4 linked regions of the Oryctolagus cuniculus genome follow. The protein of the gene in region 1 interacts with the protein of each later gene in a pairwise test. Links are inferred from orthologs where the notes say so. Each region holds a gene or a part of one and is shown in the gene's direction. Other genes may lie near its edges.

What was found.
Region 2: the proteins of TRIM42 (region 1) and MEOX2 interact in binary tests that used the Homo sapiens proteins (3 or more experiments, as listed by UniProt). The two-hybrid records come from large-scale screens. The link is inferred for Oryctolagus cuniculus from reciprocal best matches to the Homo sapiens genes TRIM42 and MEOX2.
Region 3: the proteins of TRIM42 (region 1) and LONRF1 interact in binary tests that used the Homo sapiens proteins (3 or more experiments, as listed by UniProt). The two-hybrid records come from large-scale screens. The link is inferred for Oryctolagus cuniculus from reciprocal best matches to the Homo sapiens genes TRIM42 and LONRF1.
Region 4: the proteins of TRIM42 (region 1) and YWHAQ interact in binary tests that used the Homo sapiens proteins (3 or more experiments, as listed by UniProt). The two-hybrid records come from large-scale screens. The link is inferred for Oryctolagus cuniculus from reciprocal best matches to the Homo sapiens genes TRIM42 and YWHAQ.

Annotation. Positions count from the first base shown.
Region 1 is NC_091435.1:141,096,181-141,104,038, reverse strand, and holds part of TRIM42 (tripartite motif-containing protein 42), read left to right. Parts: intron 1-206; coding exon 207-904; intron 905-3,107; coding exon 3,108-3,928; intron 3,929-7,627; coding exon 7,628-7,852; intron 7,853-7,858.
Region 2 is NC_091447.1:7,287,731-7,296,268, reverse strand, and holds the start of MEOX2 (homeobox protein MOX-2), read left to right. Parts: upstream 1-3,893; 5' UTR 3,894-4,181; coding exon 4,182-4,695; intron 4,696-8,538. UniProt on the Homo sapiens protein: Mesodermal transcription factor that plays a key role in somitogenesis and somitogenesis and limb muscle differentiation. Required during limb development for normal appendicular muscle formation and for the normal regulation of myogenic genes.
Region 3 is NC_091433.1:78,005,743-78,013,600, forward strand, and holds part of LONRF1 (LON peptidase N-terminal domain and RING finger protein 1), read left to right. Parts: intron 1-1,366; coding exon 1,367-1,489; intron 1,490-4,523; coding exon 4,524-4,673; intron 4,674-6,971; coding exon 6,972-7,212; intron 7,213-7,304; coding exon 7,305-7,401; intron 7,402-7,858.
Region 4 is NC_091433.1:192,531,858-192,539,715, forward strand, and holds part of YWHAQ (14-3-3 protein theta), read left to right. Parts: intron 1-3,717; coding exon 3,718-3,841; intron 3,842-7,197; coding exon 7,198-7,361; intron 7,362-7,858. UniProt on the Homo sapiens protein: Adapter protein implicated in the regulation of a large spectrum of both general and specialized signaling pathways. Binds to a large number of partners, usually by recognition of a phosphoserine or phosphothreonine motif.

The DNA of each region.
Region 1 (7,858 bases):
GACACTCAGGGTCAATCCTCTGAAGAGGCTCTGCCGTGTGGGCACTCACCGCATCACCAGGAAGGGGGCAGAGAGAGGTTGACTGCCCTACCCGAGGTCACCCAGCTCAGGGCTGGTGGCGGCAGGTGCAGAACCCTGTGCTGCCTCTCTGACCACCAAGGTGGAGAAGCCGAGCTGGCTCTCAACCTATCCGCTCTTCCTTTCAGCTCCAAGACCGCCCTGCGCATCGGGAGCAGCGACACCCAGGTGGATGACCTGAAGTCGATGCCAGCCAACAGCCACCTGGTGGACCATCTCACCTGCCCCATGTGCAACCGGCTGCGCCTGCACTCCTTCATGCTGCCCTGCAACCACAGCCTGTGCGAGAAGTGCCTGCGGCAGCTGCAGAAGCACGCCGAGGTGACGGAGAACTTCTTCATCCTCATCTGTCCGGTGTGCAACCGCTCGCACTGCATGCCCTACAGCAACAAAATGCAACTGCCCGAGAACTACCTGCGCGGCCGCCTCACCAAGCGCTACATGCAGCAGCACGGCTACCTCAAGTGGCGCTTCGACCGCTCCTCCGGGCCCATCCTCTGCCAGGTCTGCCGCAAACGGCGCATCGCCTACAAGCGCTGCATCACCTGTCGCCTCAACCTGTGCAACGAATGCCTCAAGGCCTTCCACTCAGACGTGGCCATGCAGGACCACGTCTTCGTGGACACCAGCCCCGAGGACCAGGACGAGAAGGTCTGCATCCACCACCCGTCCAGCCGCATCAACGAGTACTGCCGCAACGACAATGAGCTACTCTGCACCTTCTGCAAGATCGCCTTCCACAGCGGCCATGACACCGTCGGCCTCATCGACGCCTGCTCGGAGAGGGCGGCCGCGCTCTTCAGCGCCATCGCCAAGTTCAAAGCAGGTCCTGCTGGTTCCCGCCCCACCTCACCTCCCCGACTCCCACCCCCACCCCGGGCAAGGCGGTTGGGGCGGTCTGTTTCGTGAGAGCCACTAGGTGGCGCCGCGGGAACTCCGGCAAGCGCCGGGCTGGGGTGGGTGGTTGGCCTGGCGCTGCACCTGGCACTGGCCGCCCCGCGCGCATGGCTTATCTCACCATGGCGGGAGCAATGAGGAGCATGGACAGGGCTTCTTCCTCCTCCCCTTTACCTGCTGTGTGACTGGCTGAGCCAGAGTTCCCTCATCCATCAATGGGAACAATGTCTTCTACGGAAGGTATATATGTAACATAAGACCTGTATATACATTTGGCCCATAATCTAATATATGGGTCTTGTTCATAATAAATGCTTACTAAATAATTTCTAGTTTCTAATTTTAGCTGTATAACAGGTCTTCAAAAAGATCATGGAAATGCATGTTATGAAAAACTATGCATGATTTTAATTCTTGGCACCAAAATAAACACACCTTTGCATTCCACGTTTCTGTGAGCTTTTTGAAACATCCTCACAGGTTTCAGAAGGCCTGAAGGAGACCTTGATTAGATCTTGCGCTAAGGTCAGCTCCAGCAAAGCTGTCCTGTTCATCAGGTTTGTGGGTAGAGATGTCTCTGAGAGCCTTCCTCTTGCATTCCCCCTCTCCTCGCATAGTCCCTTTCACCTCCTTTAAGAAATCTCCATCCTACACCCCCACCCCACCCCGGGCCTTTGCCTTACCCAAATTCACTAATGCCTAATACAGTCAGGAATTTCTTGTGCAAGTATCCTTGGCAGAGGGCACCTCTTGAATAGCAAGGAAGTTACTGCATGAAGTGGGATTTCTGTTGCCATCAGCCACAGTCAGGCTAGCATTTGGGAAAGGCGAGGATGCCTCTCAGCACTGCGGAATCACAGCCTAGGAGTCTCCTCTCCAGTCCTTACTCTGCTTCTTCCTTTCTGGGCCATGTGAGGAAGGAATTGGAGGCTACAGGGAGAGGCCAGACAATGGCGCTGCTGCTGTTCACATGGAGAAATCAGAAAACAGGAAAGAACGTCTTTCTCTCAGCAAACGCCTTTGGATCCCCTCTAGCCACTCTGGTCGTGAGGATAGCCCAAGGCACTGGGGTCCCTCTCCTCATGGTCTGGCTGTAGGGTTTCTCTGACTCAGATGCTCACCACCCACAGCAATCCAGGCTCCTGTGACCCAGGATGTTGTTTAGAACCAAGTACAAAAATACACAGGCACCTGCCACTCCTTTTTTTGATGGAGATCAGAACCAATGCACTGTGGTGTTGGCCTCTTATGCGGGGGAGGGCTTTCCTGTAGTATAGGTGAAAGATGGCTGGCATGCTCCCACTTGCTAGTTAGGCCCTAACAACAGTGTTCATCTCACAGAGACGTGCCACAGGCTCACCCTGCAACAGCACCCTCCAGCCATCGTATGGTTGGGTTTGTGAGTGCCTTGAGCATAAGTACACTTCATACTCATGTCTGTATTCCTAGTGCCCGGAAAGGCCTGCGGTGTGCAGCACGGCTCTGGGGAATGTTTGCTGAATGACTAACTGTGTGAACTTAAAATTGAAGTGCCATGGGACAGGGTGCAGGATGGATTGGTTCCCCGTGGAGTGTGACTGCAGACGCTTTCTTGAAAGGGAGAGGCGAAAAGACAGGAGAGGGAACAGCGCTGACCACGAGAGAGACAAAGGCTGCTATGCAGGACCACGGGTGTGCAAGAGGGCCCCCATGAGGGAACACTTTGCCGATTTCCCACTGCTGTCTGAGGCTGGATTCTGGGTGAATGAGGCAAGGCAGCATGTAGAAGGGGTCATCAGTAATGTACTTCTGTCTTCCACCACTGCAAAAGCCCACCTTCCTGCAGGAAAAACAGGGCCCTGGCCTAGATGACTTTGCCTCTTCTCAAGTCCAGCCTGCAGACAGGGCAAGTGTGGCAGGAACCAGAGGGATTGCCTTCACCAGCTGGGGCTAGGTCAGGGAGGACGGCTCCTGACACCTGGGGGAGGTGAGAGGGAGGGGCGTTCTGAGGGAGGCCACGTTCAGCCCAGCTGGGGGTGCCTGCCCTCCGTCCACTCACTCCCTCGGAGGCCAGTGCCGTTTAAGGGTTTGCTGTGGCTTTGGCATCTGGGGAGAGGAAGCTTCTAACAGTAAGCAACTTGGTTGTTTTGCAGTCCGATATGAAATCGATAATGACCTCATGGAGTTCAACATTCTGAAAAACAGTTTTAAAGCGGATAAGGAGGCAAAGCGGAAAGAGATCAGAAGCGGGTTTCTGAAGCTGCGCAGCATTCTGCAGGAGAAAGAGAAGAGCATCATGGAGCAGATCGAGAATCTAGAAGTGTCCAGGCAGAAGGAGATCGAGAAGTACGTCCACGTCACCACCCTGAAGGTGAACGAGATGGATGGCCTGATAGCCTACTCCAAGGAAGCCCTGAAGGAGACGGGCCAAGTGGCCTTCTTACAGTCGGCCAAGATCCTGGTGGACCAGATCGAGGACGGCATCCAGAGCACCTACCGGCCCGACCCACACCTGCGGCTGCACTCCATGCACTGCATGCCCTTGGACTTCGCCGAGCTCTCCAGCGCCATTCACGAGCTCTTCCCCACGGGACCCAAGAAGGTGTGTTCCTCCGGAGACTCACTGCCCACCCCCTACCCCATGCACTCGGAGATGATGATCGCCAGGAAGGTCACGTTCAGCACCCACAGCTTCGGCAACCAACAGATATACCAGCGGAGCTCCTCCTTGCTGTCCTTCAGCGCCGCTGGTGAGAAGGCCAAGGGGGGTCTGGAGGCCTACGGGAGGACCCAGTCGGCCGCGCCTGCCAAGCCCCCCGATGGGCTGTACACCTACTGGAGTGCCACAGCCGACAGCCAGCCTGCACAGAACTGCAACAGCTTCCACAACTGGTACTCGTTCAACGACACCTCTGTGAAAACCCCAGGCCCAATTGTTATCTACCAGACTCTGGTGTATCCAAGAGCCGCTAAGGTAAAAAAAAAAAAAAAAAAAAAAAAAAGGCTCTGGGCCCTGTGGGGAAGGTGGGAGGTTGTGGGGTCCAGAGTGGAGGTGGGTAAGCAGGGGAGGTTGTTTGACCTCTGGGTTCTGGCTACTCAGACCTGCTTCTCTCGTGTCTTTGGGGGTCAGCCTGTTCAAAAGGATTGAGTTCTGAAATCTTAAATAACCCAAGGTTGGCTTAAACCAAAGAGTCAAGGTATATTTAAAGCATGGCCGGAAATAAAACTGAGAGCCTGACCCCCACTCCCAGGCAGTTTCTCTACTGACAGAGAACTCCTGTTGGGAACCAGAGTAGTTTAAGGCGACGGCTGGCAGAAGGTGGTATTACCTGAGGGATGGTCTGTTACAGGGCACAGAAATGGGAATCAGGAATGCAGGCCCCTTTGCCCATGAACTTGGGTATTTCAAATTGGCTGCCTTTCCTAAAGAAACTATCATTGTTGTTATTGATTATTCTTATTAGAAGAATACTGGATATTCCAATATTGAAAAATCTAATAATCTTATTGGAAGAATAATCACCAACGGAATGCCAGTTCTTATCTCCTGAGATCTATCCTTGTTTGCAGAGCGGGGGTGGGGCTAGAGAGTGGGGTGTCTCACAGATCTCTACAACTGCCACCAGTGGGCCTCATGGGAATGACACCCTCAACCCAACATGGACAAGCGTCACGTGCCTTTCAAATATGCTTGTAGGATACTTTATTAAGCCCCATGGAAGCAAGAGATGAATATGTGACTCAGTACTGGACAGAGGTGTATCTTGCCTCCTCCTGAGCTTCATCACAGGCACCTCCCAGGCCAGCCTGTGTGGCTGAGCCCATCTCTTGCCCAATTCTCTGAGATACTCTCAAAGACTCTGGGCTTCCTTGACATCTGAACCAAGGCTTCTCAACACTCCCGTGTGCCCGGGGATGTTGTTAAAGCACAGACTCTGCTTCACTGGTTGCAGGGGGGCCTGACACATACCACTGTGTTTCTCACAAGCGTCCAGGTGTTGCCACTGCTGCCATCTGCAGCCCATACTGCAATATTGGGTTATCTAAATGGAGGAAAGTGAAGGTCTGCCACAGACCAGGCATCAATAAATAAAACATGTATTATGAAAAAGCGATGCATGGATTTCAAAATACTTTGCAACAGAATAGACATCTTTCATTCCATTTTCCATGAAGTTTTTGAAATTCCATTGTGAGTTTCAACACGCAGATTATGATGTCTCAGAAGTACGGAAAAGTACAAGGGGACTTCAAACAGAGAAATGAGAAGATTGAAGTTTATTTTGCTGCAAAAAAATTTGAAATCTGTGCAGTTTTTTCATAATGTCCATTTCCCATGGAGGTTTTGAAGACCTCTCGGATGACTGACACTAAGAATGACCACATTATGTAACATTATGTAACATGGCCTCCCATGGCCTAGAGACATGGTAGTCCCCACCCTTCACAGGAGGGACGCCCATCACTCAGCAGCCGAACTCATCTCCAAGGGCTACTGCATGAGCAAGACCTACAGTGTATGCGCCATTGGGTAGGCAGTGGGTGTCACCTGCACATTCACTCAGACCTCTTGCAAAATTGGCAGGAGTTTAGCCTGCGGTGTAAGTACTGGTGGTCCCTGCTCCATAACTGGGCTTGGGGAACAGTCACCCCACGCCACCTATTGGTCATCCCCAGGGAAGCTCCAGAAATGGGCTTCCATAGAACAACCAGGCAAGGGTGGCAGTGGAGAGAGAGATCACCTAAACCTGCCACCAGACAATGGCAGTCCTTGTGAAGCCATCACTGATCCGTATTTTAGGGCCACAGAATGGACTTTGCACAGGCATCATAGTGTTGTGTCACACAGGAGATTAAATCTCTGTTAACATCTCTGTCAAATCTTTAGAACATTGGCATCAGAAATATTCTTTTTTTTTAACTTTTATTTAATGAATATAAATTTCCAAAGTACAGCTTATGGATTGCAATGGCTCCCCCCTCCATAACTTCCCTCCCACCCGCAACCCTCCCCTTTCCCTCTCCATCCCCCCTTCCATTCACATCAAGATTCAGTTTCAATTCTCTTTATATACAGAAGATCAGTTTAGCATATATTAAGTAAAGATTTCAACAGTTTGCTCCCACACAGAAACATAAAGTGAAAAATACTGTTTGAGTACTAGTTATAGCATTAAATCACAATGTACAGCACATTAAGGACAGAGATCCTACATGAGGAGTAAGTGCACAGTGATATTCTTAAAGTTCATCTTATAATTTGTTAATATGTTTTGTTAAAAATCCTAGAGGTTTTTTTAACTCTAGAAACCCTTTCAAAGGAAATGATTAAAAATGTAGATGAATTTTCGTGCATGAAAGTGTTCGTTGCCACATTTATTTGAGTATAAAATTAGAAACAATCTAAATGTTCGACTAGATAAAGATTAAATTATTTATAGGGCAGTTTTCAGAGATGGTGCTTTACTGAATTTTTAATGATATAGAAAAATATATAAAATATAGTAAGTGAAAAAAGCAATATTTGAAGCAACATAATCCATATTACATGTATTTGTGCTTGTATTTCAAAATTAAAAGGAAATAATAATGAATTAACTAGATTGTGAGATTATTTGTGATGTTCACTTTTTCCCTTACACTTTTTCTGTATTTTCCAAGTGTGTCATTGATGAGTATGTTTGTTCTGATAACCAAAAAAAAAAAAAAAAAAGTAAGTTCATTTCTGCTGCTTTACAAATTGATTTGGCAGGTACCACCTACTGATTGACACTTGAGTCTTTTCCCAGGAGTTGGTATTTTATGCTTTGAGAGTGAACACAGATTCTCCATTATTGGAAAAGTCTTTTTTTTTTTTTTTTTTTTTTTTTTTGACAGGCAGAGTTAGACAGTGAGAGAGAGAGACAGAGAGAAAGGTCCTCCCTTTTCCATTGGTTCACCCTCAAGTGTCCGCCACGGCCAGTGCGTTGCAGCCAGCACGCTACACTGATCCAAAGCCAGGAGCCAGGTGCTTCTCCTGGTCTCCCATGGGGTGCAGAGCCCAAGGACCTGGGCCATCCTCTACTGCACTCCCGGGCCACAGCAGAGAGCTGGCCTGGAAGAGGAGCAACTGGGACAGAACCGGCGCCCCGACCGGGACTAGAACCTGGTGTGCCGGCGCCACACGCGGAGGATTAGCCTAGTGAGTCGCGGCACAGGCCGGAAAAGTCATTTTAATGTCTCTGGATTCTATTTCCTTGTGTATAATATAAAGGGTTGGAATAGGTAAACGTCTCATCTTCTAGTATTCTGTTTTTCCAGTAAAGTCTACTAATCTTTCTGGGCCTACAAAATGGAATCACACAGAGTCTATCTTCCAGGGCATTGCCAGGACTAAATGAGGTAGGGGTGGCAGCTCCTGACAGAATCTGGTCTTCAATAAATAGTAGCTGCTTCATTAGTGGTGTCAGGAGAACATCAGCCAGCCACACAGCACTCTTTGGTCCTTGAAAGCTGATACAAGAACCACGTCAGCCCTCATCACACAGCCTGCCAAGGCTGTTGCACAGGACCTAGCTCAAAGTCCCCCGCATACAGGGGGCGGAGTCAGCTCCAGCTCACCACAGGACAGCCAGCAGCAGTGTTCCCGCCAAGGGCAGGCTGGTGTCACCTGATGCATTCATTTCTTCTGTAGGTTTACTGGACGTGCCCCACAGAAGACGTGGACTCTTTCGAGATGGAATTCTACGAACTCGTTACGACCCCGCCTAACAACGTGCGCACAGAGCTCTGTGGACAGATTCGTGACATAATGCAGCAGAACCTCGAACTGCACAACCTGACCCCCAACACCGAGTACCTGTTCAAAGTGAGAGCCATCAATGACAATGGGCCCGGGCAGTGGAGCGACGTGTGCAAGGTACTG
Region 2 (8,538 bases), on another chromosome or scaffold:
AGAAATACAGCAAGCTTTATTGTGAAAGCATCAGTTAGTGTTACGTGAAAATAGCAGCATTTAAAAAATCTGGTAAAGTATGAAACAATAACTGAATGGTATGCATAAGCCATAGCAAAATTGTTCCTTAAATTTTATAATGAGTAATTCCCTGAGAAAGGCAATTCCTTAGTTTCAAGAAATAGAATAGCTCATATACCACATAAATTACTCCTGGGCATTTAGCATATTTGGATATATTTTTAAAATTCTTTATTTCAGAAGGGCCAAAGTACATAGCTGTTACTCCTTGAAAAATGTAGCAGAAATAATGTTTATAATATGCTTAATAATATTTGTAAAACAAATTCCAGCTTCAACTTAGTGATCCACAGCTAAATTCAAATGTTTTGGCCGTATGCTACCAAGGCAAGTTTATCTATCAGGTAAAATGCAAAGTAGAATTTCATTATATTTAGTCTTAAACATTTTAATTCCCATCACGCTACATGTTGCAAATGTCCATGGCAACTTTTGAAAGAATCATCATGAATATCACAATAAAATTTACCTGTCAACTTTTTAGATTGTTTGATATAAGTTCTACTATCCTTTGAACCAGATAGTCCTAATTTGCTTTGTATAAAGATATTTGCCTTTACTGTTGAATTTCATTTCATTTTGGCAAAGGTAATGATGGATTCACACATTATCAAGTTTAAAGAGCCCAGTACATCCATAAAATAATTTTGATTGTGTGCCCTACAAGACCTGATTAACATTTTCATATTATCAACCTCTTTTTAATGTGATCCTGGGTATGAAATCCTTGCATAAAGCACTTTTTTTTTTCAGAAAAACCAAGAATATAGTAAATACAGAATAACTACTAGACCACACATACTGTTATATAGAAATTTTATAACCAATTTTGTAGTTTGCATTATTCTTCTTGAAATAACTAGATAAAAATGGCATCTTTCAACATCAAATTTTATATATGCAAACATCGAATTAACTATTCTGGGAAATGCTAGGTTTTTTTTTTTTTTCCCTGTCATTATTACATTTTTTAAGAAAAAAATTTTTCATGGCCTAGAAAATAAAAATCAATATATCTGTTTTTATTCCAAATATTCTTAAAGGATGAAAATGTAAAACATGGTATGGAATAATTCATATATTTTTCGAAACTCAGAGAAAAATAAGGAAGTCATATTAAATTCTAGACTGCAGTAAGAAGACGATCTTTGATTTCTTTCTTCTTTGAGTCACACTCTTTCTCCTCCCAAATACATTTTCCTTGTATTATGCTTTATGTTAAGAGATCTGAACTGCGGTATTTCTACCCAGGGTAAGCGTGCTGGGTCTTCCCTTTATTTAAAGGACCTGTCTCCCTAGCTTCACCTCAGCTGCATGCCTGGGGGAGCGCCTCCTCCTTACTCCAACAGTTTTGAATTTTCCTTCCCAGGTTTCTGGCCTCGCGGTGCCCAAAGCCAACTGCAGCAGGTTGTGGAGAGATCGCTGGACCTGTTAGCATCCGACGTAGCGAGGGGGAGGCAGCCAGCCTGGGGCGCTGCGCAGGTTCCCGGCCGTGCGCTCGTTGCACCACGCAGCTTCCCCTGCGCGCAGGCACGCGCGGCTTTGCAGCTGCTGAACAAACGCGAGGAAAACCCGAAGGACGTTTCTGGGTGCTTTGCCCCACGTCTGCGGGTCGGGTGGCATTCTAGGTCCCTCTCGGCTGACATTTTCCACCAGGCTTCTGGTGGCCAGCGTCCCTATCAAACCCACGTGTCTGGTTACCTTCATGGACGTGCTTGCCTCAATTCCACTTTGGAAAAAAAAAAAAAAAAAAAAAAAAAAAGTCTTGCTCCTTGCACCCACAACCCAGAGAGTAGCTAAGGGTGTTGGGGGTAGTTTGTGTTGCTCTTTGTACTTCAAGTTCCCTACCGGAGCACGCAGTGGAGCCATCAACACAATGGAAATTCAAAGAAGATTCCGAAGGTTTTGGAGGAAGAGACCCCCCTCCACCTCCCCTTTATTATTGCTATTATTATTTTTTTAATAAAGCCCCAAGAGTGGAGGGAGTGGCAGGAAGGAATATCATTAAGCTCTGAGTCTTGGATGCCTCCCTGCGAGCGCGAACACCCCCAGAAACGTGCAACCCGCAGAAGACCCCCTCTGGAAGTCTGGAACCGCAGGAGATGCCGAAACGCGGGCGCAGAAAACCTTACCGTCCACGGCGTGCGGCCGCTTCCAGCTCAGACCCAGACTGGAAGGCTGAGCCGCCGCTCAACAAAAGCTTTAGTTTTTTTTTTTTTTTTTAAACGAAGTCTGCAAAACTAATTTCCCTCCAAATAGGGCTCCATTTCCGTTCAAGCCAGCAGTGCTCACACGTCTCCCAATTCCCCATCAAACCCCCGCTGCACCCCACCTCCAGGCCGCGGAAACGGATTCCATCTTTCCCGCGGATGCCAGGGTTCTCGCCAAGCTGCGGCGCTGCGGCTCCCCTCCAAAGGACCGCGGGGACGGGCAGGGGCCCGAGGGTCCTGCCCGTCCGTCGGGGACACCGCCCAGAGATGGCTCAGTACTCGCCCCTAATTCGAACCAGATGTCCAGCCCCGTCTGCTGTGCCCATTAATCTCAGGAACAACTTCAAAGACCTGGTCCCCATCCTCGGGACACCTGAGACAATGAAAATAACGGGGCAACACCGCTGGTGGCACGGCCGGGAGCAGTGAGGGCACGCGCGCTCCTGACGGCACCGGCCCAGCTGGGAGCCGGCTGCCCCGCGGCCCGGTGCGCCCCCGGGACAGAGCCAGCGGCCCGCATGCGCTCAGGGACTCCAAACTTATGCTTTCCTGTTTGCGGGATGCAAACCCGAAACGCCCAAGCGCCGATGGCACGCATCAGAGTGTTCGGTTTCCCAATCAGTGGCACCATAGCGCAGTGAGGAGGAGTGTGTGGAAGGAGCTGGTTTGTGTGGGAGCGGGAGAGAGGCGGTGGGGTTCTGGAGGAAAATCAAGGGCCCTGGGTTGCCTCCTGGGGGAGGAGGGGGCGAGGCTGGGAGCACGCGTGCAAATCCGCACGTGGCATGTGACAGGGACAAACTCTCTTCAGAATCTTCCCGGCCCAGGACAGCTTGCTCTAGATGGACTGGTGGCTGGGAAATGGAGTGGGACCAGTTTCGCTGTGACGGTCAGGGGGCGGGACGCCAAGGCAGGGCACCAGTAGGCGGCTCACGTCGGGATGCCTGGGCGCGGGCTTCCGCGCACTTTCCGCCGGCTCACCGCACCCAGTCCCGGTCCATTCGGTCTCGAGCGCTGCCCACTTGCGGGTCGCGCTGCGCAACTCCGCACCTGGACCCTACCCCAGAGCCCGGTGCCCGGCCGGCGCACACACCTCGGCGGCAAAAAGCCGGGCGCGCCTTGTGCCCCGGGGCGCACGCAGCGAGCGAAGTCTGAGAAACTTCTCGCAGCGTGCGCTAGACTTGGCTCTGCTCTGCCCTTTTCAGCCGCGCTCACTCCCCCAGGGGTTGGGCGCACCCCTAAGCTTTCCTGCGGGTGACAGTTTCCAAATGGCACTGACAAGTCATGGTGCGCGGGTAGGGGCTGGGGGGTGGGTGCGGAGCCGGGACTGGCGGGATCCCGGCGCCTGGTGCGCGGCTTGCAGCCCGGGGCTGCTGGCAGGGCCGGGCGGGCGGGGACACGCGGAAGGACTGTCCAGCCGGCAGTGGGAAGCGGGGCTGGGAGCGCGGGGCGCAGACTGAGCGGGCGCGCTGGAGGAGCTCGCATGTGGTCAGCGCCAGGCTCCTAAGCCAGCCCCCGGCTCACGTTACACTCTATTTATAACCTCCCAGAGCCCTTCCTCCCCCCCCCACCCCACCCCCCAGGCGTATAGTTCTCTGGGACCACCTTCTTTTGGCTTCGACCGCTCCCACTCTTGACATCCGAGTCGCTCGGAGGGAAGCTCCTCTGGGTCCCAGTGTTTATATGTGAAGGAGACCGGCCCGAGGGTTTAGGACAGGGATTACACGAGCGCTGCCGGAAAGCCCGCGCGGCTCTGGCCTGGGGACACAGGGGCGGCGTAGGGTGCGGGGGAAGCCACACGATTGCCACGGAGAAGCGCCCGCAGGCTGGTGGTGCCAGCGTTGGTGCGGTCGTCTTGAAGTCTTCCCGCCTGGAGCCCGCGACTTGCATGCTATGGAACACCCGCTCTTTGGCTGCCTGCGCAGCCCGCACGCCACGGCGCAAGGCTTGCACCCGTTCTCTCAGTCGTCGCTCGCCCTGCACGGGAGATCCGACCACATGTCCTACCCGGAGCTCTCCACTTCGTCGTCCTCGTGCATCATCGCGGGATACCCCAACGAAGAGGGCATGTTCGCCAGCCAGCACCACCGGGGCCACCACCACCACCACCATCACCACCACCACCACCACCAGCAGCAACAGCACCAGGCGCTGCAAACCAACTGGCACCTCCCGCAGATGTCCTCCCCGCCCAGCGCGGCGCGCCACAGCCTCTGCCTGCAGCCGGACTCCGGAGGGCCCCCGGAACTGGGCAGCAGCCCGCCGGTCCTGTGCTCCAACTCCTCCAGCCTGGGCTCCAGCACCCCGACTGGGGCCGCTTGCGCGCCGGGGGACTACGGTCGTCAGACGCTGTCACCCGCGGAGGTGGAGAAGCGAAGCGGGGGCAAGAGGAAAAGCGACAGCTCAGGTAAGGTGCGCGCCAAGGACCCTCGGCCGGAGTGCAGACGCAGCTGGGTCGGGCCAGGGCGGCAGTTTGCAAGCGCTGGAGGCTGCAGCGGGGCACAGCAAAAGCTGGGGCAGTGTCCAGCCCGCGCAGGTTTGGGAGATGCGGCTGTGGTCCCAGTTACTTGGGGGGGCGAGGGGAGTGTTACCCTTGTGCGCAACCTACACGCAGCCAGCAGCGGCAGCTCTAGGCTTCCCAAGGTCCCAAACTACTTCTCCAGAAGTTTGAGACCAAAGGGGAGCGAGTGACAGTTTGTGAAATCGATTGCGCGGCGTGACGGCCGGGCGCGGCGCCGGGAGGGGCGTGCGCCTGGGGATGCGTGTCCGTGGGGCGGGCGTGCGGGTGCGGCTCCCGGACTTCTGCCTCGCATGTTCCCGACTCCGAATGGCTCGCTTTTTCCCATCGTTAACTGGCTTTCCAAATCGTTGCACAATATTTGGAACCTTGGAATGGAACTTGGCAGAGCGTATGAGAAAAAAAAAAAGTTTTAGGTTATTTATTTATTTATTCTGGATTTCAGGATTCCTTAAATAGCAACCTATTCTAAATGGTAAATGCTTCCCTTTCTTGGGAAAGGAAGATAGTGTCTAAGAAGTTTTTTTTTTTTTTTTTTTTTTTTTTTTAAGGAGCATGTCAGAAATTTTTAAACAAATAGATGACGAAAAGTATTGGAGAAAGACGATTGTTAGGAGTAGTTAGTAGTATTCGTATGATACCAATGCAAAGGGAGAATCGAAGAGGTTTCAGGGTGGAAGATCAACTCCTCTCTCAATGAGTGCAATACGACAAAAACTGGGAATCCAAGGGCAGGTCCAGTGCTGTCTGCTCAAAGTGATACGCGCAACGGGGCACCCACCAGGCGTTCGTCTGCGTGCCCGGAACCTAACAGCCCTGGGAGCGCCGGAACGCGCAGCTTGCCCGGGAAATCTAACCACAGAGGCAGGTCTGCAAAGCCCTTACCTGCCTGCATTGTGATGAAATTGTTCAGAGGATTTTTCACTGAAGGGGAGTTGTGACCCTGGGTTCCTTCGTGTTTTAGGAAGATGTCATTTGCGCAATAGAACACTTAGCGTGTGTTTCTTTTGCGAAATTGATGTCTATAGTCCCAGAAGATAATCTCAGCCGTGGGTTGAAAGAGTTGGCAGATGTCTATCTCCTGTAAAGCTTTAGGCCACATAAAGGACGCAGATGGAAATGAGCGTTGGAATTGCTTTGCAGCGATGCTACCGATCTTTCTTCAGTTTAGCCTGCGCTGGATTTCTTTCGACTTTTACTTTCCAGGGTCAGGGGTGGACCATTAATGCCCCATCACAAATTAGTTAATATCTAAGAAAGTTACTAGCGATGTCACTCATTTTTAATGGGTTTTACTAACTACAAATGAAACTCTCTTAAGACCAGTTGAAAGGTTAATCCCAGCAAGAAGGTTTTCATCTTCATTATTTAAAGATAAATAAATAAACAAGGGCCAGTTTTAGACAGCAATGGCCCTTGCACAGACTGGGCGCTGGATATCAGTGTTGGTGTGGAAGCGGTGGCAGTTCAGGCGGTTCGGGCTGATGAGAACATCCTTCTAGAACTAGAAGCTCTGAGTGAGCGGCCCTTCTCACTCTCCGCGGGAGAAGCCGGATGATGGGCTCCCTCCTCAGGCGTCCTGACTCAGCCCAGTACCCCTGAGTGTCTTAGGGCAAATCCGAATTTCATAGGGCAAGTGTGATTTTGTTTGGGACAGATAGAGAAAGTGGAATACAAGAACTGATGCCCACGAATTGTTTCAATGAAACTTAAAAAAAAAAAAAATTGGCCTCCTTTAATGCTCCTTAGCTCCTCTCTCATGGATGAGAAATTAGCCATATAACAAAGTAAAATTCATTTTTACATGTTGAAGCTGATATTTAGGGTCCATGAAAAGCAAGTTTGTGTCAGCCGCATAAAGTATTGATAGATTACAGCTTGAGTGGGAAATACACTCAGCCATCACCAAGGATAAAATCATTGGGGACTTTAGATGAGGGTTTTCTTTGATGGTACGTTCTGGAAGAATGTTTGACTAAAAGGAAACATCACAACAGTTTCTGGCTCGATCTATTTATGGCATAATTATTGAAATTAAACTTAATTGGCCAGTTTTAACCTCTGAGTTAATATTGACTAGACATTTAGGTAGATTTAAGTTTAAGATGTCTTTCTCCTATATTGCATTTGGTTTTCCATAATTTATGTTAGAATTTATTTTACTCCTTAGTGTTATAAGGACTTCTCAACATAGCAGAAACTGAAGCAACAGTAGAAATAATTCTTATTCTGGCCTATTCTTATCATGCATATTAACATTATAACTCTTGCTTTATAACACAGTTTTAATACTGCAATATTTCTAAAACCTAAAATGGAGTTGATTTCTGAACTCTGAAAAGTTGAAATTGTGTTAAGTGAAATGCAGATCATGCATCGTGGAGATCATGTGCATTTGGTCATACAGTTTATAATCACTGTGTAGTTATAGTGGAGAATGAACGCGATGCATACAACCATGGCGAAGTCCAAACACGGCGAAGTCCAAACGCCTGCATCTAACACCAAACTGTACTTGTAGTGTTTGTGACAATGCTAAATTCTAACAGAATTTAGATCACTAGAAAATATTGAAAAGCGGCCCAAATATTTATAAACCACGCATCTGTATCCATAGTAATGATGCTAAAAGTACAGTGTGTAACATTTCCCAGTATGGATATGCATTTCCCCTTCACAAACACACATGAACACACACATGTACAAATCATGGAAGCTTAGGGGTTTAGAAGCAAATATTTATGGACTTTAGGCCTCCATTATAGTTTATTGACAATTGAAAATAACCAAGTTTAATAGGAAAGTACACCATTATTTTTTATATGTGTTAACATTTTTGTAACTTTGAACCCGCTATGCTTTCTAGCATTATTAGCAAGCCAACATCTGCTACGTCTTCAAAGGGACTCTTAAAAATTGAAAGTTTACAATGGTGCTTAAGACAATCAATACAAAGCAGGTGATTCTGAGCAATGTCTATAAATAGTGTCAATTGCTTGGCTTCAATTACATTTGATTGTTCTCCAAGTAGTGTAGGAACAGGGTATAAACTGCCCACTTTCAGTTAAAATAACTAAAATTGATTAATCGATGTAATGCCAGTTTTTTTGTGGGGGACATACAATATATATTGTAAATATATTCTTTCAAATTAGTGAATATAAGTTTGTATTTCCTAAAAGTCAGAACTTAATCCAAAACAGGGCATGATTTGGAGACATGAATTTTATTAGACGTTGCATTATATTAGATTCTTGTAAAATGGCAAATATTTTATTTATAGCTACCAACTCATAAAACATTTGTTGTGGAACAGTGTTTGTCTATATGCTTGGCATTGCAGAATGACAAGTACACACTGCACTTAATAAACTGAAAGTTAAACCCAAAGTTACATCTTACTCAAGCTAATTGTGCATCATATTGTAATTTTTCCTAGATATTCCATGACTGTGTTATATTATTCATTTCTGTGTTACTGAATTGTGTCTTTTTAGTAGTTGCTTTAGAGTAGAAGAAAATACTCTGTTGGATCTCAAAGATTAAGGAGAATGTTGAACAATTTAAAAGTCTCAAAACTACAGAATGTACCATTTTCACTCTTTTTCTTGGAGTAGTAGATTAATTTTTGGGTAAGAACTCTTTGAAATGAAGATGCTTTATTGTTGAATGCCATCAATGAATGAAAGGAAGAATGTAAATAAAAGTAGGAATATTTTCCAGTTCTATGTA
Region 3 (7,858 bases), on another chromosome or scaffold:
AAGTTAACTGAAAATAGATCTTCATAAAAATTAAGAATGGAAATAGGAGATGGAGGAGGGTGGGAGTGTGGTTGGGAGGGAAAATAGAGTGGGAAGTATCATTATATTCCTGCATCTGTATATAGGAAATATATGAAATATGTATACCTTAAATAAAATTTAAAAAAAAAGAAAAAAATTTTCAGCAAAGAAATAACTTGCCATTTTGTGAAGGCAGATACAGTCTGGACTAGGAAGTTTGGATCAAGGAGGTTAATTATGGAAAAAGGTAAATCTTTGAGGCTGGAAAATTGTCATTATAATAGCAAGGGGGTGATTAGGCAGTTTTAAAAAGAACTAAAGAAATGTGTATAACATAATCTGTTTACTAATTTTCCTTTTTATTTAACTGCAAAGGCAATCTGTCTCCCTCCCATGTGTGTTGTTTAAGCTAGAAGTTATTTTATGTGTTTTTTTCCTATAACTCAGAGCTGTGCCATTAAGGACAGTGTAATAAGGATGCCTTAAAAATTATAAATTAATAAGGAAATGGATACAACAATCCCATGATGATGTGACTGTTGATACAGTCACATATGTATTAAGAATGAAACTGCAGTGGTTTGTGTGTATAGTTTTAAAACTGTTTAAAAGGAAAGAAACTTCGAGACTTACTATTGAAGTGATACCAGAAATGTGATTTTCTTCAGTTATTTAAATGGTAGCTAAAATTACTATTTGACAAGAATATATTTTAGGCCTCTCTGATGTTATTTAACACAACTCTGTGGTTTGTAAACCTCTCCATTCAAATTCTGTAGACTAGGCACATTTAAAGCTTGCCAGTTGACACTTTATTGGTAGACTGACTCACACACTGAATTTTTGTTTATCAGTGATCTAAATAAGGTTCCAGTTTTTGTCATGGAGCATGTTGAATTCCTATAATAAAAAATAAAAAATAAAGGAAAAATTTTGATGCATCTTAAAATAAGTATAATTCTGTATTGTATTTCTTTTGCTCCCTCAAACAATTATTATTAAATCAATAATCATTAAATAAGCAGTTTTTTTAAGGGGAGGGAACATAGTGTTTATGGTCTTGCTGAGCCCTGACTTGCTGTGGAACTTTGGTCGGGTCGTTGTCTGGGCCTCAGTTTCCCTGATGGTGCTTCTCCAGGGTAATGGGTAGATGTGCCTTTGCAGTTAAATAAAAAGGAAAATAAGTAAACAGATTATGTTTATGATTAGGCTTTGACCTCCTCAAGGTTATTTAATTCCAAAATCAGCATTTTTGAGCATGTTATTTGTTTTTCTTTTCTTGATAATGATTTTCCTGAAAATCAGTTTCATCCATAAAGGTTTTGTTTGTGTGCTTCCATTGAAGGTTTACTTCAGGAAAGGAAAGGTACTCCATGATGCTGGCTTCTTAGGTGATGCCTTACAGCTGTTTCTTCAGTGCTTAGCCCTTGATGAAGATTTTGCACCTGCAAAGCTGCAAGTAGAAAAGGTAATCAGTTTACCAACCATAATGTTTCCAGGCAGGGCTAAAACACAGATCTTTTTTTAAAATACTAATTGGAAAGTTACTATAAGTGAATAATCTAACTTCAGAGCAATTTGAGAGGTTTTCATGTTTGAATGCTTAGTGTATTAAGTTATTGGATGAAATCAGAACATTTCATTCACAGATATTTTGGTGCAATATTTTTGCTTAGTTAATTTAGACATTCCCTAATAATTTATCCAGTCCACACCAGACTGAGGTTTTTAATTAAAAACTGCTGTCCTGATGTTCTGCTCAGGACTCTATTAACCTGGCCTGTGTCTTTGGCTTGGGCTCTGAGCTTGGCTTTCTTTCCATGCTGCCAATAGTATTGCCCCAACTTGTTTTGCCTTATTTTTCTTAATGCTCCATATATCATTTTCTAACATGTGTGCTGCCTGTGGTGTGTTAGTAGGTGTTAATTAAAGAGAAGAAAAAAGAAGAGGGAAGAGGGGTTTCTGATCAAATGACTTTGGGAAATATTTGGTTAATACAAATTTAACAAGTTTCTTCAGAACTTTTTAGGGCCTTTTGATATGCTAGCATGAAAAAAAAATAGCCTTCAGCACAGATCATCTAGTGAGAGTAGTCTTTAAAAAATTCTTTGAGGGCCGACGCTGTGGCGTAGCGGGATAAACCATCACCTGCTTCACGGGTATCCCTTATGGATGCAGGTTCGAGTCCCGGCTGCTCCACTTCTGATCCAGTTCCCTGCTGATGCCCCTGGGAAACCAGCAGAAGATGGCCCAAGTCCTTGGGCCTCTGCCACCTACATAGGAGGCCTGGATGGAGCTCCAGGCTCCTGGCTTTGGCCTGGCCCAGCCCTGGCTGTTGTGGCCATTTGGGGAATGAACCAGTGGATAGAAGACCTCTCTCTCTTTCTCTCTCTCTAACTCTGCCTTTCAAATAAATAAATCTTGAAAAAAAAATTCTTTGAGAAAATCAACCCTAATAAAAGTTCAGGTTCCCTGTGCTGGTGCTCTCCTCAATCTTCTCAAAACAGGCCATGTGATTTGTCACCTTGGTCGTGTTTCTGGGTTTTTGTCAAAATTGCCTGGAGTGCATGTTGAACATTCCCCTAGTCATAGGCCTTTGGAATCATCATCTCTGGAATGGAGGCATCATAATAAGCATTCCAAGAGATCCATATGTACCTTAAAATAGGAGAACATTTTTCTCAGATCCCAGCAAAGATGCTTTACAATATTTTGTTTTTCTCCATATGCTTTTTGTAAATTGTGGTATAATTTACATGTAATAAAACACATAGATTCTATATAGTTTGTTGAGTTTTGAGAAAATGAATGTACTTGTGTTAATAGCATTCCAGTCAAAATAAAGGATGTTTCTGTCACCCTAAAGCATGCTTTCATCTCCTTCCCAGTAAATCTTCCATCATCTTGCTCCCAGAGGAAACTACTGTTACATTTCTATCACCATAGAGTAGTTTTCCTATTCTAGAGATATGAATGGGATCATCTAGTGTGTACTCTTTTTGTCTGTGGCTTTCTTCTTTTTGCTTAACTATTTTAAAAATACATCCTGTAATTTTTTTCTTTTTGTTAGTGACTGTATATTTCATTATATGAACAGACCATGATGTGGTATTCAGTTAGTAGTGATTTGTGTCTGGATTATTTTGTTTTGTTTTTAAAATAATTTTGAATAAAGCTGTTATGAACATTCCTGTACAATTAATTTTGTGCACATGTGTTTTTACATCTCTTTGGTAAATTCCTAGGAGTGGAGTTGCAGGGTTATAGGGTAGGTTTGTGTTTGACATTTTTTTTTTGACATCAAAGGAAATGTAAAATAAATAAATATTAAATATTTGTTTATTTGTACAATTTTATTTCTGTTGTGTATATTTCCTTTCATAATGATTTGTGAATTACTCTGATTCTTGTGTATTTGAGAGAGTATACAGCTGAAAAATGAGACCTCCAAATTTAGACATTACGAAATGCTCTGCAGCTTGTTTGACAGCCAGAAAAAGATCAGAACCTTTCTCATAGTCTTTCTAGCCAGGGTCTTCCCCCATGTTAACTTGCCCCTTCTCTTTGAGAGTTCAGATTTATTTCTGATTTAGACATCCAGAAATTGTGATTCCGCAGCTGTGGCCTAGTTAAACTCCTACTGTTACAGAGCAGCTGCTATGTGGTGATTGCCGCATAGGTTAGTTGTCAGTGAGAAGCTAATGTAAGTATAGGGAATTTCAGAATTCTATAGTTAGAGGTCCAGGTTCTCTAGTTCACATAAGTAGTCTAATTCCAACTTTAAAATCTGCATTGCTATGAGCCATGAACTGTTTTGACTAGGATATGGCTCACAGATATTCAGAGATGAACCTTTTTGACATCACATAAGATCCTTCTTCTTATAATCCTTGTATTAAAAGGTCTGCCTTTTCCTCAGTTACCTTCTCAGTCACCTAACCAGTCCCTGGTTCCCTTCAAAGTCTTGAATCATTTCTTTGAGGTTATTTGATCCCCATTGAGGTATACTTTGGTTTCATAAAAATTTTTAATTTGTTTTATTACCTAACCAGTTCTTCTCCTCTGCTTATTAAAATAATGTCTAGAAAAAAATCTTAAAAATCTTTTGTTTAAGATTTATTTTTATTTAATCGAAAGGCATAGTTACAGAGTTGGGGAGAGAGAAGGAACAGAGAGGTCTTCCATCCACTGGTTCACTCCCAAAGCCAAGATCCAGGAGCCTTTTCTAGGTCGCCCACATGGGTGCACAGGCCCAAGCACTTGGGCCACCCTCTGCTGCTTTCCCAGGTGCATTAGCAAGGAGCTGGATCAGAAGTAACGCAGCTGGGACTCAAACCGGTCTCCTATGGGATGCTGGTGTTGCAGGTGGTTGTTTAACCTGCTGTGCCACCACTCCAGCCCCACCAAGCAATCTCAAAATCCCTCTTAGGTAAATTTATATTAAATTATCCTTAACCCAAAATTTCACATTTTCTACTACTTTTGTAATATTTCTCTTACAGATTTTGTGTGATTTGTTATCACCTGAAAACTTAAAAGAAGACCTAAAGGAGTCTTCCTGGAGTTCATTACCATGTGTTAAAAACAAACCTTTTGTTTTCCCTGTGGTAATGGGAGAATCTCAATCCCCCAGTGAGCTCAGCCCACAACAGGTAAGGGGTGAGAAAAGCTTGTCATGGTTTTAGCACCAAGTAAATATTCACTTTTAAAATTTCTTTTTTTTTTGATTTTTTTTAACTTTTATTTAATGAATATAAATTTCCAAAGTACAGAATATTGATTACAATAACTTCCCCCCCATAACGTCCCTCCAACCCGCACCCCTCCCCTTTCCCACTCCCTCTCCCCTTCCATTCATGTCAAGATTCATTTTCGATTCTCTTTATATACAGAAGATCAGTTTAGCATACATTAAGTAAAGATTTCAACAGTTTGCTCCTGCACAGAAACATAAAGTGAAAAATACTATTTGAGTACTAGTTATAGCATTAAATCTCAATGTACAGCACACTAAGGACAAAGATCCTACATGAGGAGTAAGTGCACAGTGACTCCTGTTGTTCACTTAACAAATTGACACTCTTGTTTATGGTATCAGTAATCACCCTAGGCTCTTGTCATGAGCTGCCAAGGCTATGGAAGCCCCCTGAGTTCACTGACTCTGATAATTTTTAGACAAGGCCATGGTCAAAGTGGAAGTTCTCTCCTCCCTTCAGAGAAAGGTACCTCCTTCTTTGATGACCCATTCTTTCCACTGGGATCTCACTCGTGGAGATCTTTCATTTAGGTTTTTTTTTTTCCCCCAGAGTGTCTTGGCTTTCCATGCCTGAAATACTCTCATGGGCATTTCAGCCGGATCCGCATGCCTTAAGGGCTGATTATGAGGCCAGAGTGCTGTTAGGACATTTGCCATTCTATGGATCTGCTGTGTATCTCACTTCCCATGTTGGACCATTCTCTCCCTTTTTGATTCTATCAGCTAGTATTTGCAGACACTATTCTTGTTTATGTGATCCCTTTGGTTCTTAGTCCTATCATTACGATCAATTGTGAACAGAAATTGATCACTGGGACTGGTGAGATGGCATTGGTACATGCCACCTTGATGGGATTGAATTCGAATCCCCTGGTATGTTTCCAACTCTACTGTTTGAAGTAAGTCAGCTTGAGCATGTCCCGAATTGCACATCTCTTCCCTCTCTTATTCCCACTCTTATATTTAACAGCGATCACTTTTCAGTTGTTTCAGCACTTAAGAAGAATTGTGTATTGATTACAGTATTCAACCAAAAGTATTAAGTAGAACAAACAAAAAAAATACTAAGAGGGATAACATATTAAGTTGCTCATCAACAGTCAGGGTGAGGGCTGATCAAGTCACCATTTCTCATAGTGTTCATTTCCCTTTAACAGGTTTCCTTTTTGGTGCTCAGTTAGTTGTCACCTATCAAGGAGAACAAGTGGTATTTGTCCCTTTGGGATTGGCTTATTTCACTCAACATACTGTTTTCCAAATTCCTAACAGGGATCACTTTTCAGTTAAAATTTAAACACCTAAGAATAATTGTGTGTTAATTACAGAGTTCAACCAATGGTACTAGAACAAAAAAAAATACTAAAATGGATAAAGTATTACATTGTACATCAACCGTCAGGACAAGAGCTGATCAAGTCACTGTTTCTCACAGTGTCCATTTCACTTCAACAAGTTTCCCCTTTGGTGCTCAATTAGTTGTCGCCAATCAGGGAGAACATATGATATTTGTCCCTTTGGGACTGACTTAATTCACTCAGCATGATGTTTTCCAAATTCCTCCATCTTGTTGCAAATGACCGGGTTTCGTTGTTTTTGACTGCTGTATAGTATTGTATTAAAATTTCAAATACTAGACTCTACTTAAGTTCTTTTAATCTTTTCACTTAATAGGATTTTATCTCTGACCTTTTATTTTATGCTGAAACCTTATGTGTAAAAGATTTATTATCACAATTTTAGGTCACCTATATGTCAGAAAACTTTTAATTTCAGAATTTTTAGTCTCTTAGAATATGTAAAACACTATATGAGAAGACTGCAAAAAGTTCATAGGAAATGGAATTACAAAATGTTTATTTTGGTGCAAAAAGTTTTGAAACGTATAATTTTTTATAATAAGCATTTTATGTGAACTTTTTGAAAGGCCTTCATGTTTATTTTAGTTTCTTCAGTTTCTTACAGATACAACTATATTAATGTAACTGCTTTTAAACCTCTTTGTAACATAGTCAGTTTGATGTCTAGTACTAAGTACTGGCAAAAATCATTTACTAGCCAAGAATTTAGAATTAAAAGTTAGTGCAGTTAAATGGGCGATATAAAGCTCTGGAACTTCATTTCAGTTAGATTTTTAGCAAGAGGGATAAAGGATAGCACAGAAACAGTGGCACCTTTGTTTATTGTGTTTTTGTAGAATGAAGAAATACCAGCGGTCACTTCGGAGCCTGTCAAAGGCAGCTTAAGCCGTACTCAATCAGCACAGGCTATAAATTCAGCAGACATGTCTGCCAGAGGGGACTGTCTGAAAAGAGTGTCTTCAGAACCTTTACTCTCTGTTCAGGAGAAAGGTGTTCTGCTGAAAAGAAAGTTGTCTCTTTTAGACCAGGATGTGATGGTCAATGAAGATGGGAGAAATAAGCTTAAGAAACAAGGAGGTAAGCATTTCCCTAACTCTTCCATTCAATACCTTTGTTCAGAAGGGCCCTTCAACTTTTTCCTGAACAACAAATCCTATTTGTTTTAATAGAAAATCCCAGTGAAGTCTGTATGTTTTCATTAGCTGATGGGGACATCCCAGAAGAATTAATAGATGTCTCGGATTTTGAGTGTTCTCTCTGCATGAGGTAAGTATATAAAATTTTACAGAGGATATTGATTTACATAAAATATAGTATGGATCAAGGTATTAATAGTAAAAATAACAAAACTGGAATAAAAATCAAAATGTGAATTTTAATCCTAGGGTTGCCTTTCACACATTGGGCAAATAACTGAATCTGTACCTCAGTTTTTCTTATTTAGAAAATGGAGTCAGTACTTGTGTGGCCTTTATCACAGCATTGTGGGAATCAAATGAGTCACAAAAGAATCTGGGAAGGTGTAAAGTACTATGAGATTACTGATACCACTAACACTTGGATATATACATGGTTTTAGATTTGCCTAAGAATTGTAATTTTATATCTTATGTATATGATCCTATCTTGCTTGTGTATACAATCATAAAATCCTTTTTCAATAACACTGGAGAAGGATTTTCATTGTGCAGCATGCTTATTATTGTAAAGCACTAAATGTTTT
Region 4 (7,858 bases), on another chromosome or scaffold:
TTCATGTTATTAATGGTAGAAAATATTTTCTTAAATGAATTGATGTTACCAACTTGGGATCAAGTTAGATGATTCCTTGTCTCCTTGGTTAAAGCAATAAATCCAAATGCATTGTGGGAGTTAACCCTAGTGGGTGTTCTCGTAGTAGAATGGTGATTTCTGAGACTAGAAGGCCTTTCCTGATATTCTTATTATATAATTACAGAAACAGGCACTTCAGTGTTGACTCTGTGGTGTAGTATTAAGCCCCCACCTGCAACACCAGCATCCCATGTGGGCCCTGGTTCGAGTCCTGCGTGCTCTGCTTCTGATCGAGCTTTCTCTAATGTGCCTGGGAAAGCAGCAGAAGAGAGAAGATGGCCCACATGCTTGGGCCCCTGCACCCACATGGGTGATCTGGATGAAGCTCCTGGCTCCTGGCTTCATCCCGGCCCAGTCCTGTAGCCATCTGGGGAGTGAACCAGCAGATGGAGGAGCGCTCTCTCTCGCTCTCTCTCTCTCTCTCTGACTCTGACTTTCAAACAAATACATAAATAGATCTTTTTAAAAAATCTGTTTCACAAATGGTAATTAATTTCAAAAGCCCATTTATTCTGAAAAACACAAAATACTCTCGTTTAGTTTTATCAATTAGAGGTAAATCTCTAGCTTAAGTTTGACCTTATCTCTCCTAGACAGGATCTCTTTTAGGATATATTAATGTGCTGATTAAGTTTAGAAATGTGTGGTTAGTGGCTCATATAACCTAAAGTTAGAGATTAACTGTGTTGATTGCATATTTATTTTATACCTTTTACTTTTTGTTTTATTTATTTGAAAGGCAAAGCAAGAGAGAGATCTGCCTTCCTTCCATCTGCTGGTTCACCCCCAGATGCTCTCAATAGCCCAGGACTGGTTCCGGCCTAAGCCAAGAGCCCAAAGCTCAGTCTGCTCTCCCACATGGCAGGCAGGGACCCAGCTTCTTGAGCCATCACATGCAGTTATCTACTGTTTCTTAAATCAGTTCTGAATATGAAAGAATAAGCTATTTAATGAAAGAGCAGCTTATTTTGACTGTAAAATAGATATCAATTTTTAAGTGCATTCAAGATTAAAAAATTAGTTTGTTGGCTGCTATAGAATATTACCAAATGAATTATTTTGGAAAAGCTATTGAAGTGATGTTAGTATTGTTATATGCAACAATAATTCATTTAGAATTAGCATGCTGGATGTTTTGTTTTTAAAAAGATTTTGTTGGCCGGCGCCGTGGCTCGATAGGCTAATCCTCCGCCTGCGGCACCGGCATACTAGTTATAGTCCCAGTCGGGGCGCCGGATTCTGTCCCGGTTGCCCCTCTTCCAGGCCAGCTCTCTGCTGTGGCCCGGGAGTGCAGTGGAGGATGGCCCAAGTACTTGGGCCCTGCACCTTTTCTTTTCTTTTCTTTTCTTTTCTTTTCTTTTCTTTTCTTTTCTTTTCTTTTCTTTTCTTTTCTTTTCTTTTCTTTTCTTTCATTTATTTTATTTATTTGAAAGACAGAGTTACAGAGAGACATAGAGACAGAGAGAGGTCTTCCATCCACTGGTTCACTCCCCAATTGGCTGCAATAGCCGGAGCTGCGTCAGTCCGAAGCCAGGAGCTTCTTCCGGGTCTCCCACGTGGGTGCAGGGGCCCAAATAATTGGGCTATCTTCCACTGCTGTCCCAGGCCATAGCGGAGAGGTGGATAGGAAGAGGAGCAGCCGGGACTTGAACCAGCCCCGATATGGGATGCCGGTGCTTCAGGCCAGGGCATTAATTTGATGCGCCACAGCACCAACCCATGTTTATTTTCTTTAAATAAGTTATAAATACAACAATTGCCTTTTGTTTCAATCAGATAAAAAAACAGATTGTTCTTGGATTAAAACTACGTTTTCGGGGACATAGGCACCTGTTTTGAGTCCTGGCTCCTCACTTCCAGTCCAGCTCCCTGCAAATGTCCTGGGGAAAGCAGTGGAGGTGGCCCAAGTACTTAGTTTCCTACTACCTAATTGGGAGACCTGGAAGAAGCTCCTTCCTGGCTCCTGATGGCCCAGTTCTGACTTTAGTAGCCATCTTAGGAGTGAACCAGCAGATGGAAGACTCACTCTCTCTCTTTCTCTTTCTGTAACTTTCAAATAAATAAATAAATAAGTCTTTGACAAGAAGATTTTAAAACTACATTTTTGAACTTTTGTTATTTTATATCTATAAACAACCTTCCTTTTCATTTTTGTCTTTTGTGACTTTTTTTTTTTCCAGACTTATTTATTTATTTGAAAGGCAGAGTTACCCAGAGGCAGAGAGAGAAAGAAAGTCTTCCATCTGCTGGTTCACTCCCCCATGGCTGCAACAGCCAGAGCTGGGCAGATCCAAAGGCAGGAGCCAGGAGTTTCTTCCAGGTCTCCCACACAGGTGCAGGGGCCCAAGGACTTGGGCCATCTTCTATTGCTTTCCCAGGCTATAGCAGAGAGTAGGATCAGAAGTGGAGCAGCTGGAACTTGAACCGGCACCTGTATTGGATGCCAGCAATACAGGCGGTGGCTTTACCTGCTACGCCACAACACTGGCCCCTTTTGTTACTTTTTATACTCAGATATTCCTATGCCTCTACAAGTATAAATACTTACTAAGAAGTGCTATCTCATTGAATCAGATGTCCTTTTTTATTTTTATTTTTTTTTTAAAGATTGATTTATTTTTGTGAAAATCAGAGTTAGAGGTCTTCCATCTATTGATTCACTCCCCAGATGGCTGTAGTAGCCAGGGCTGAGCCAGGCTGAAGCCATGAGCTTTGTCTGGATCTCCTGTGTAGGTGGCAGGAGCCCAAACGCTTGGACCATCTTCTGCTTTTCCCAAGCCATTTGCTGGGAGCTAGATTGGAAGTGGAGCAGACGGGACACAAGCTAGCACCCATATGGGATTCCGTGCACCGCAAGTGGCTGCTTTAACCCACTATGCCACGATGCTGGCCCCTCAAGTGCACAGCTTATTGTATGGTGTCACTGATAAAAGACATACAGAAATACCGTAATTTATTGATTAGATTGAGTAGACAGAATTATTCTGTCTTGCTGTGCTGTCAGCTGCTGACGCTCTGCCCTCTGATCGCCTTGATTCCATGGACATCCGGGTGCAGAGTGCGCTGGTGAGCTCTTTAGTTCTCTGTTCTCACGCTGGATTCTGCGCAGGCTGATCTCTGCCCCGAGTGCTCCTGCTGTCGATTCTTGACAGTCAGATCTCTGTTCCCCTGGAAGCCTGAACCAGAGGCCGTCTCCAGCAGCGCTAGCTACTCACTCCTGTCCTGTTCCTGTATTTCTCTGTGCTTAGCATGCAGTTAGTGGTGTATGGACAGAGGCTGAGCTTCTTGAGGGCAGGCCTCTGCTCTTAGGGCTTCTCTGTGTCTGCTGTCAGCAAATACCTGACACCCAGCAGATGTCAGTAAGTGTTTGTTGAATGACCAGGTGAGTGAATGGAGAGACCCTTTGTGAGGATACTGTTTTGTGTGATGTAGCTTTCTTTAAAATGTGCCAGGGAGACGGTGGCAACAGGCTGACACTGCTGTAAGGACATGCTTCAAGGCCAGGCGGACGTGGTGAAGGATTATTGTGGTTAAGGATTCTATTACATGAAGGCAGAAGTTAGATTATTCTAAATTCTTGTCTGTAATTAAATAGCTTTTATTAGCGCCTAATTTTTTTATCTTTTTTTTTTCCAGGAATTGTTGGATAAGTATTTGATAGCCAATGCAACTAATCCAGAGAGTAAAGTCTTCTATCTGAAAATGAAGGGCGATTACTTCCGGTACCTGGCTGAAGTTGCATGTGGAGATGATCGAAAACGTAGGTATATTTGGTTTCAGCTAAAGCCAAAATAAATAAAAGGCAGTTGGTGTAAATGGGACACTGTTCCAGTGCTCTGTAGTCTCCAGACTCCTTGTAACTTTGAAAACAAACAAAACTCTGAATGATATGGATCAATAAAATGAATATTTATCTTATTTTCTAAAAATAAAAGTAGGGGATCCAGCGTTGTGACGTAAGGGCTTACGCTGCCACCTGCAACACATAGCTGCTGACTCACTTGTACTCTGTGCACTTGGGAAAGCAGTGGAAGATGGGCCAGGTCCTTGGGCCTCTGCAGCCACGTGGGAGACCTGGAAGACGCTCCTGGTTTCTGGCTCCTGGCTCCTGGCTCCAGCCTTGCCGAGCAGCAGCAGCTGTGGTCATCTGGGGAGTGAACCAGCGATGGAGACCTCTCTCTCCCTCTCCCTCTCCCTCTCCCTCTCCCTCTCCCACTCCCACTCCCACTCCCACTCCCACTCTCTGTAACTCTGTCTTTCAAATAAATCTTTTTAAAAAATGAAAATAGGCACAAATGTTTGGTACAGTGGTTAGGATACTGCTTGGGACACTCATATTCCGTTCTGGAGTGCCTGAGTTCCAGGGTTCTAGATTTCTTTTTCTTCTTCCTCTCTCCCTCTCTCTAAGATTTTTTTTATTTACTTGAAAGTCAGTTACAGAGAGAGGGTTTCTGTCCGCTGGTCACTCCCCAAATGGCTACAACGGCCTGGACCAGGGCAAAGCAAGGAGCCAAGAGATTCATCTGGGTCTCCCTCATGAGTGACAGGAGCCCAAGTACTTGGGTCATCTTCCACTGCTTTCCCCGGGCCAGTAGCAGGGAGCTGGATTGGAAGTGGAGCAGCTGGGACGCAAACTGGTGCCCACATGGGAGCTGGTGTTGTAGTCAGTGTCTTTACCCGCTACACCACAACACCAGGCCCTGGGTTCAAGTTTTGACTCCACTTCCAATTCTAGCTTCCTGCTGTTGCATATCCTGGGAGGCAGTGTTGATAGCCTAAGTACTTTGGTCCCTGCTACCTAATATGGGAGATCTACATTGAATTCAAAGCTTCTGTCTTCAGCCTAGCCCAGCGTTGGCTGTTGCAGACTTTGGGAAGTGTATCAGAGGGTAGAAGATCTCCCTCTGTCTCTTTGCACCCAAATGGGATGGCAGCGCTGCAGGCGGAGAATTAACGTACTGCACCATGGCGCCAGCCCCGGTGTTGCAGTACTTCCTATAGTACTTTAATACTGAAAACAGGGAATTATGGAAGGGATCTCAGATTTCATGTAAAATACATTTTAGGAAAAACCATGCCTGGACGGTGAATAATTTGTTCCATGGTCACAGTAAGCTTGAGTGACCCACATGACTAGGGCTTACTTTACAGGACCTCTTTGATAAGTAATAGTCATATAAAAAGATTTGAATTTTTTTAAAGATTTATTTATTTTACTTGAAAGTTACACAGAGAGAGAAAGAGAGGCAGGGAGAGAGGTCTTCCATCTACTGGTTCACTCTCCCAATTGGCTGCACTGACCGGATCTGTGCTGATCCAAAGCCAGGATCCAGGAGCTTCTTCCAGGTCTCCCACGTGGGTGCAGGGGCCCAAGGACTTGGGCCATCTTCTACTTCTTTCCCAGGCCACAGCAGAGAGCTGGTTAGGAAGTGGAGCAGCCAGGACTTGAACCGGCGTCCATGTGTGATGCCAGCACTGCTGGCAGCAGCTTTACCCACTACACCACAGCACCAGCCCCTAGATTTGAATATTAAATACCTTTTTTTAACCCTTAGACTGTTACAGAAAATGTAATGGGGGAATAATTGAATCACCTGATTTGATTATGGGAACATCAAAGTTTATTTATAGTAAACTTAAGTCTCCTGGGTTATTAGGAGCTGAGCATAGTACAGATCCTAAGTTTTGTGTATGTGCCTGTTAGTAGATTTGTCAAGTTCTAGGTGGAAGTGTTGCTGAAATTCTGATTGTTTTCCCCAGTGAATTTGTGGTGTTCTTGGTTCTCAGTTCTGCCCCCATCCAGTAACATAGCTGCACAAGTAGATACCAGTGCGACTGAAGCCATAAAGAGGAAACCACTGTACTTGCTCTAACATTTGTGTACAAATTTACTGTTACTGATAGAGAGTTTTTGTTGCCACAAAGGTAAGCAGAGTTGGAAGTGAAAATACTGGCACAGAACTGAGCGTGTAAGTGCCAGCGAGGCAGAGGACGTCTTACTAGGACATTCCTGGCTTGAGGCCGACCTCGGCCCTCTGTCTCGTGGGCACTCTGAGCTCCTGCTTTCAGTCCCTCGGGTGCCATCAGCTGTCTTTCCAGCTGAGCTGACCGCTTCTGCTCTGTGTAGTCCCTCCTTAGATGCCCACAGCAAGAGCCACTTACTGTGGGAGTTGTGATTAGATCAACAATGATGCCGTTTCAGAGGAGGGAAAGTGCACAGTCAAGTCATAAAGGGGTTGCTTAATTTCTGCTATGTCATTGTCTTCAAAAAAGCTGGGGTAGATCCACGGCCTTAAATAGAAAACAAACCCTTTCAAAACAAATATAATCAAGTTCATGTTGGTAATGCTTCCTAATTATTTTTTTTTTAATTTATTTATTTGACAGTCATAGTTACAGACAGAGAGAAGGAGAGACAGAGAGAGAGGTGTTTTATCCGCTGGTTCACTCCCCAAATGGCCACAATAGCCTGAGCTGAGCCGATCCGAAGCCAGGAGCCCACAGCCTCTTCTGGGTCTCCCACTCGGGCACAGGAGCCCAAGGACTTGGGTCATCCTCCACTGCCCTCCCAGGCCATTGCAGAGAGCAGGATCAGAAGTGGAGCAGCCAGGACTCGAACCAGCGCCCATATGGGATGCCAGCACTGCAGGTGGTGGCTTTACACTGCGCCACAGCACTGGCCCCTCCTGAGCATTTTTTGAGGGAGGCTACTCAAAGCAGATTTTGCTGTATTATTGGCACTTTATATTGCCTCACCCAGAGCATCGTAATACCCAGAGCGTCTGTTTGCACAAATAATGTCACAAAAATAGAGGGGTTCTTGTGATGGTGATCTTTGTAATGTGATCTAAAAGCTAGGAAAAAGAAAACAGTTTTAATATCATTGATGGAAGAATCTATATACTGTCTGTAAGCTGACTATAAGCAAGCAACACTATGAGCTAGTTTTAAATATCCAAGACAGGATAAATGTTTGTAGCTTGCTACTGTGGTTTCAGAGGAAGATAACAGAAACATCTGGCTCTGCCAGGAGCTAGTAGCATGTTAAAATTACTCATGTGCTGGTCTCTGGCTGTTTTCCAAAGGATCATGCCTTTTATTTTTTTCTCTTCACAGAAACGATAGATAATTCCCAAGGAGCTTACCAAGAGGCATTTGATATAAGCAAGAAAGAGATGCAACCCACACACCCAATCCGCCTGGGGCTGGCTCTGAACTTTTCTGTATTTTACTATGAGATCCTTAATAACCCGGAGCTCGCCTGCACACTGGCTAAAACGGTAAGATGTGTGTTGATTTCTGGGTTTTCACTTGGATGCTCAGGGATGACTGCTTTCTGTTTATTGACCACCTGAAGGAAGCTAGAGATGAGAAGATGGGATGGCTGCCGGGTGTGGTCGTGGGAGTGGCTGTTTAGTGCATCCCTCAAAGCAGGAGAGTGATGAGGGCTTTTGCAAGTACCTGTTAGTTTTTACGGGAACACGTCTGTTCCCCGTTACTGCTGTATGGCCTGTGAAATGGGTGGTGAGTGTTTGGCCTGCTGATTCATCTGGTCTGGCCCTGACAAGGCAACCCCAGCAGGACTTAGTTTGGTGTATCTATAACAAGCTAATTGTTTCCAAGTTGATTATTTTGTATGGCCCACAGATTATGTCACAGAGCCCCTTGCCAGAAAAAGTTCCTCTACCCCTGCTGTAAGAACCAAGTCCCTGCTTATGAAGCCTGTAGCTCTGCAGTCGCGGGTCACGCTCCCGCAAGCTGTGAAAGTGAGAGTCCG